Anolis sagrei: one gene and its partner. The protein of the gene in region 1 interacts with the protein of each later gene in a pairwise test. Links are inferred from orthologs where the notes say so. Each region holds a gene or a part of one and is shown on either strand. Other genes may lie near its edges.

Region 1 (3,928 bases):
ATGTGGCCAGCATGACTGCATGAAGTGCCATTACTTTCCCACCAACTTATTGATCTACTCACACTTGAATGTTTTCAAATTGCTAAGTTGGCAGGAACTGGGCTAACAGCGGGAACTCATCCCGCTCCCCGGATTCAAACCGCCAACCTTTCAGTCAGCACATTCAGAAGCTCAGCAGTTTAACCTGCTGCACCACCAGGGAGTCCAATATTATAATACTAGCTGTCCCCTGCCACACGTTGCTGTGGCCCAGTCTGTGTAGATGTGCTTTGTGTGTGTTTAAGTGTGTATATGTATGTGTGTATATTTGTGTATATACGTGTGTTTGCGTGTATATATATATATATATATATATATATATATATATATGGTTTTTCACATGCGTTGTAATGTATTTTTTATTTTTTGGCTTTTTAAGTCTCTTCTGCTGTGTTTTTCAGTGCTTTTATGAGTGATGGTCACTTGTTGGCCTGATACGTGTATTGTGCCCAAATTTGGTGTCAGTTCGTCCAGTGGTTTTTGAGTTATGTTAATCCCACAAATGAACATTACATTTTTATTTATATAGATATAATATAATTATATATTAAATATAATTATATAATATTATATAATTATAATTATATAATTATAATTACTATAGTTAATTGTATTGCATAATTATATTATATTATATATAATTCTATATTCTATAATTATAATTCTACTATAATATTATCTATATAAATAAAAATGTAATGTTCGTTTGTGATACCATCAGAACTCAAAAACCACTGGGGGAATTGACACCAAATTTGGACACAAGACACCTAACAACCCAATGTATGTCCTCCACTAAAAAAAAAAAGATTTTGTCATTTGGGAATTGTCGTTGCTAGGATTTATAGTTTACCTACAATCAAAGAGCATTCTGAACTCCACCAATGATGGAATTGGGCCAAACTTAGCACACAGTTCTCCCATGACCAACAGAAAAAACTGGAAGGGTTTGGTGGACATTGATCTTGAGTTTGGGAATTGTAGTTCACCCACATCCAGAGAGCACTGTGGACTCAAACAATGATGGATCTGGACCAAACTTGGCACAAATATTCCATATGCCCAAATATGAACACAGATGGAGTTTAAGGGAAATTGAACTTGACATTTGGGAGTTGTAGTTGCTAGGATTTATAGTTCACCTACAATCAAAGAGCATTCTGAACTCCACCAATGATGGAATTGAACCAAACATGGCATACAGGACTTCCATGACCAACAGAACACACTGGAAGGGTTTCGTGGGCATTGACCTTGAGTTTGGGAGTTGTAGTTCACCTACATCCAGAGAGCACTGTGGACTCAAACAATGATGGATCTGGACCAAACTTGACACAAAAATTCCATATGCCCAAATATGAACACAGATGGAGTTTGGAGGAAATAGAACTTGACATTTGGGATTTGTAGTTACTAGGATTTATAGTTCACTACAATTAAAGAGAATTCTGAAACCCACAAACGACAGAAATGGGACAAACTTCCCACATAGAACCCCCATGACCAACAGAAAATACTTAAGGTCATCCAGTCCAACTCTCTTCAACAGGGCAAGAAAATGTAATCAGAGCCCTCCTGACGAAGAGCCATCCAGTCATAAATATAGATAGATAGATATGATTCTCACACACACACACAGATATAGTATCATAGATTTGAAAGAGACCCTTAAAGAAGGACTATGATATGTTGCATATTCCAGAGTAGGCAAAACAGACACTCTCCACATCAACACTGACAAAGAAACAACAAAAAATACTGTTCACTCACAAGCCTAAAGAAATTACATATATTAGAAACCAACACTTTATAATTACTTTATTTTCCAGATCACCAGACTGGGCCACAGCAATGCATGGCAGGGGACAGCTAGTAATATAATAATAATGTAATACAATTATTATATAGAATACGCTGCGCAGTGTGCAGAGGAATTTGTTGGATTTTGTTTTGTTTTGTTTTCCAAATCATAGTACGGTCCCCCAACAGCCTTGAAGGACAGCAAACCAGTCCTCAGTTTAAAGTGTTTGAGAACGTCTGATTTAAGATCTGCCCTCTGCAAACCCACAGGTTGGCCTTTCATAGACACGGCAATTGGTTTCTCAAACGTGCAAGAAATGCATTCAGGGACGTACGTACTCTGCTTGAAACCCAGGTGAGGCACCCTCTCAATGGGCGTGTGCCGGTCCTTCATAAACCTGTAGAGGTTGACCAGGAACGTCTGCTCCTCTTCCTTCTCGCTGGAAGGCAGCATCTCGTCTCCCGATTCCTCGGCCAGACTCTTCTGCTCAGCTTCGGCTGCCTGTTCCGGCTTGGAAGTGGGAGATTCCTGCAGGAAAAACAACCCAATGCAATCACCAATTACATTCTGGAAATTAAACAGTTGCAATGCAAGTACAAGTATTATTACATTATTGTTGAAGGCTTTCATGGCTGGAATCATCTGACATGGTGGTTGTTAGTGTGGTCCAGCATTTCTGTGTTCTCAAATAATATGCTGTGTCCAGGCTGGTTCATCAGGTGCTCTGCTATGGCTGACTTCTTTGGTCAGACTACACAGAGAAGCCTTTGAAATCCACAAGCATGTGGACAATTTCAACAGAAAGGAAGAGACCATGAAAATGAACAAAATCTGGCTACCAGTATTAAAAATACTCTAAAATTACAACAGCAAAACAGCAGAGAGGAAACAACCAGGCACATCTTAACACCTCTCATCAAAAGATTTTCCCAAGCTCAGCCAGGCCTTCAAATGCTAATGAAGGTGGTCAGTTGAAACATTCACACCTAGCTCCAGCAGAGAAGAGCTCTTTGCCCCACCCCAGCCATTCCACAGATATATAAACCCATTTTCCTAGTTCCAACAGACCTCACTACCTCTGAGGATGCTTGCCATAGATGCAGGCGAAACGTCAGGAGAAATGCCTCTAGAACATGGCCCTATAGCCCGAAAAAACCCACAAGAACTTATTATTACATTATGTTACTCTCTTTATTCTTATTGGAAGGATACATAAGCACATTTACATTGAAGAAGGTTAGAATCAGAGTGGGACACTCTTATCTTAAATTACAGTGTTATGTAAATATTCAAAAACATTTAACATTCTGATGCCTCAATTAATGTAATTTTATTGGTATCTGTTTTTATTTTGAAACTGACCAATAGCTGCTGTATTTCCCACCCTAGGCTTATACTCGAGTCAATACATTGTCCCAGTTTTTGTGGTAAATTTATGTGCCTCGGTTTATATTCGGGTCGGCTTATACTCGAATATATATGGTATATAGGTATTGAGCAGATCAATAGGTATCGCTTCTGCGGGAAGGTAACGGTGACCATGCAGTCATGCTGTTGTAGTTCAGCGTGATGGTAACGTTGCTACTACTGGTAGGAGGGAGAAGCGGGCTGCGCAGGTGTTGGAAGAGGAGCAGCAGCGAAAGCAGATTAGAGAGATAATCATGGCCCCGAGTGATTCTGAAACCTTTGAGGGCTTCTCCGACTGTAAAATGGGGGATCGGGAGGAAAGCAGGGGAGTCAAGCGGGTTACTCACGATCCAGAGTCTGATGAGGAAACTCAAAGGAAGCGCATCCGTGATATACTTAACGCTCCTACAGAGGACAAGGACTTCATGGGCTTTGAAGGGAGGGATGGGTCTGGGAGTGACATGGGGGAGGAGGATGGGCTCGATTGGATCCGTGTACAGGAGATTAGGGATATCTGTACCCAACCCACCTCCAGCGATGACTTTGAGGGGTTTACAGAGGAACGCCAACCGGGGAGCACTTGGCAAGATCTAAGTCTTGACAGACGCTGGCAGAGGTGGAGGGATGGGCATTCGGGTTCAGCTGCAGAGAATGGGGCAGCTGAGAGCGATGATGAAAGAG
Region 2 (3,928 bases), on another chromosome or scaffold:
CCCTGACTCTGGAAGTCACTTCCCAGGGACATCAGTCATGCCCCAACTCTGGCAGTCTTTAGGAGGAGCCTGAAAACGTGGTTGTTCCAGTGTGCCTTCCCAGAATATGGAAAACTCTTAGCAATATGTCCCTAAATGCACTTAGGATTGTCTGTGTGCCCCATATCTCTACCTAAAAACTCTATCCCAGTTATATCCTACCTTGTCCATGTCCAGCATTATTTTTTAAATTTTAAATTATTGCATTTGGCCCGGCCATAGGTTTTAAATGCTTGTTGTTATTGTTTACTTTTGTGTATGAGATTTATTTTAACTGTTGTATTGATTGTTTTCTATTGCTTTTACTCATGATGTACTTTGGGATCGGGCTCATGTAAGTCGCCCTGAGTATCTTGGGTAGACGGTAGCGGGGGTATAAATAAAGTTTATTATATTATTATTATTATTAAGATGGGATGAATTTGGCCAGGGATGGTGGTGGGGTATCAAATACAGTTTATTATTGGGTTGTTGTAGGTTTTTTCGGGCTATATGGTCATGGTCTAGAGGCATTCTCTCCTCTGAGGATGCTTGCCATAGATGCAGGCGAAACGTCAGGAGAGAATGCCTCTAGACCAGTGGTTCTCAACCTACCTAATGTCGCGACCACTTAATACAGGCCCTCATATTGTGGTGACCCTCAACCATAACATTATGTTTGTTGCTACTTCATAACTGTAATTTCGCTACTGTTATAATTTGTAATGTAAATATCTGATATGCAGGATGGATTTTCATTCACTGGACCAAATTTGGCACAAATACCCAATACGCCCAAATTTGAATACTGGTGGAGTTGGAGGAGATTGATGTTGTTGTCATTTGGGAGTTGTAGTTGCTGGGATTTATAGTTTGCCTACAATCAGAGAGCTTTCTGAACTCCACCAATGATGGAATTGAATCAGACATGGCCACACAGAAATCCCATGACCAACAGAAAATGCTAGAATGGCTTGGTGGGCATTGACCTTAAGTTTGGGAGTTGTAGTTCACCTAAATCCAGAGAGCACTGTGGACTCAAACAATGATCAATCTGGACCAAACTTGGCATGAACACTAAATATGTCCAAATGTGGACTCTGGTGGAGTTTGGGGAAAATAGACCTTGACATTTGGGAGTTGTAGTTGCTGGGATTTATAGTTCACCTACAATCAAAGAGCATTCTGAACCCCACCAATGATAGAATTAGGCCAAACTTCCCACACAGAACCCCCATGACCAACAGAAAATATTGTATATTCTGATGGTCTTCGGGGACCCCTCTGACACCCCCTCACGACCCCCCCCCAGGGGTCCCGACCCCCATGTTGAGAAACACTGCTCTAGACCATGGCCATATAGCTCGAAAAACTTACAGCAACCCAGTTTTTCAGATGGGATGAATGCGGCCAGGGGCTGAGAGAGTTGCCTTGCCACTAACTAGCCAGCTTTGCGCCTTGAGAAGGAGTGGAGAGCGAGGGAGAGAGTGTGTGTATGTGCCTGTGTTGTGATGATGATGAGGATGTTGGTGATGGTGAGGATGGTTGGAGGTGTGTGGGGAGGGGAGGAGGAAAGGGGCTGACTTTGCAAGGCTCTCCTTTCTTTCTGGTTTGGAGGAGGAGGAGGAAGAGGGGGACAGAGGCGAGCGGCGGAGGACAACCATGTGGCGCAGCGGTGGGGGGAGCTTGCTGGAGCCGGGCTCCTCCAGCTAAAGTGCGCTGCCCCTTTAAGAGACTGGTCAAGGAGTCCTAGCTCAGAGAGGGAGAGAGAGAGAGAGAAAGAGAGAGAGAGAGAGCGAGGACAAGAGAGAGAGAGAGAGAGAGAGCTGGAGCCAGAGGGGGGAGAAAAAAAATCAATCGGTTTAGGAGGTTTGGCTCCACTTGACAGGTTCAGTTGGAGGCGATTCCTTCCTCGGCGACAAAGGAAGGGAAGAAGAGAGAGAGAAGAAATAGTGCGTCCTCTCTCTCTCTCTCTTTTTTGTTCCCTTCTCCAGCATGTTAACCGACCCCGATTTACCTCCGGAGTTTGAAAGGTGAGTGCTTGCATTTCTGTTTTTTCTCCCCGGGAATCAATTGTCGGGTTTTCGGTGCGTTGGTTGCGCGCGTGGCTCCCAAACGGTGCGGGGATTGCTGCTCCAAAGTGCAACTTTCCCTCTGTAGAGACAACCTTGCCAGTGGAACCACAACCACAACAACAACAACAAGGAAGAGGAGGAGGAGATCTCGGCACTTTGGCTCGCTTTCCCCACCCGGCGTGCCGCTCTTGTCAGATTGTTGCTGATCCGCGTTGGGGGTTTGGTTGCCCTTCTTCCTCTCCTTCTCCTTCTTCTCCTTTCCACCAAGTGCCCAAGTCCTCTACTTGGTAGCAGGGATGCCTCTCCGAGCCGGGATCCGAAGGAGCATCAGCTCCGACTCTGATCTCTCTCTCTCTATCCCTCTCTCCCACCTCCCTTCTTCCCTTTCCCCGGCTCCTGTCTTCTCTCCTTCCTCCCCTCCCTTCTCCGCCTTCCCTGGAATTAATCTGCTCCAAACCCAGAAGCAAAGAGATCTCAGGCAGATTTGGACTTAATGTCTTTCCCCCCTCCTCTCTGTTTGTCAAAATAATAATAACAACAATAATAGCATTAAGCCTGAAAGAGGGAAGGAAAGAAGGAAGGAAGGAAGGCGCGCTCAAGTTCCTGGGAATGAATGGGGAGAGGAGCCGAGCAGGCTGGAAACTTTCAGTGTGATCCTTCCAAGAGGAAAGAGGGAAACTTTCTAGGCAAGGCAGCGCATCCATCCACATGACCTTTGGGTTGTTGGTCTCCTAAGGTGCCTTCTCTGGGAGCAACTTCACTCCAGGAACAGGAAGTGGCAATAATCATAATAATCATAATAATAATCATAATAATATAACAATAATAATCAAACAAAATCACAAGAGAAGTGTTCCACTTGTGATTTTGGGATACGAAACCCAGCACATATCTCTCGTTTCCTGTGCCATACTTTGTTTTTGTGTCAGTAAAATAATAATAATAGAATATGTATATGTATCTAATAATAATAGTAATAATAGTAATAGAATACAAAAGTCAGCATAGTGATCTTGTTTGCTGTGTAGTGTGTACTAGTCTTGCTATGCATCTAATAATAATAGTAATAGACTACAAAAGCCAGCATAGTGATCTTATTTACTGGGTACTAATCTTGTTATGTATCTAATAATAATAGTAGTAGTAATAATAATAATACTAATAGAATACAAAACTCAGCATAGTGATTTTATTTACTGGGTACTAATCTTGTTATGTATCTAATAATTATAGTAGTAATAATAATAATAATACTAATAGAATAAAAAAGCCAGCATAATGATCTTGTTTGCTGTGTACTAATCTTGTTACGTATCTAATAATAATAGTAATAATAACAATAGTACTAGAATACAAACCCTGCACAGTGATCTTATTTGCTGTGTACTAATCTTCTTACGTATCTAATAATAATAGTAACAATAACAATAGTAATAGAATACAAAACTCAGCATAGTGATCTTATTACGTATCTAATAATAATAGTAATAATAACAATAGTAATAAAATACAAAAGCCAGCATAGTGATCTTATTTGCTGTGTACTAATCTTGTTACGTATCTAATAATAATAGTAGTAATAATAACAATAGTAATAGAATACAAAACTCAGCATAGTGATCTTGTTTGCTGTGTACTAATTTTGTTATATATCTAATAATAATAATAACAATAATAATAATAGAATACAAAAGCCAGCATAGTGATCTTGTTTGCTGTGTACGAATCTTGTTATGTATCTAATGATAATAGTAATAATAATTATAATAGGAATAGAATACAAAACCTTGCACAGTGATCTTGTTTGCTGTGTACTAATCTTGTTATGTATCTAA

Evidence for each region.
Region 2: the proteins of ARID5A (region 1) and SOX5 interact in a two-hybrid assay, tested with the Homo sapiens proteins (2 studies listed by BioGRID and IntAct). The two-hybrid records come from large-scale screens. The link is inferred for Anolis sagrei from reciprocal best matches to the Homo sapiens genes ARID5A and SOX5.

Annotation. Positions count from the first base shown.
Region 1 is NC_090027.1:23,191,516-23,195,443, reverse strand, and holds the start of ARID5A (AT-rich interactive domain-containing protein 5A), read right to left. Parts: upstream 2,363-3,928; 5' UTR 2,294-2,362; coding exon 2,179-2,293; intron 1-2,178. UniProt on the Homo sapiens protein: DNA-binding protein that may regulate transcription and act as a repressor by binding to AT-rich stretches in the promoter region of target genes.
Region 2 is NC_090025.1:185,153,633-185,157,560, forward strand, and holds the start of SOX5 (transcription factor SOX-5), read left to right. Parts: upstream 1-1,638; 5' UTR 1,639-2,013; coding exon 2,014-2,051; intron 2,052-3,928.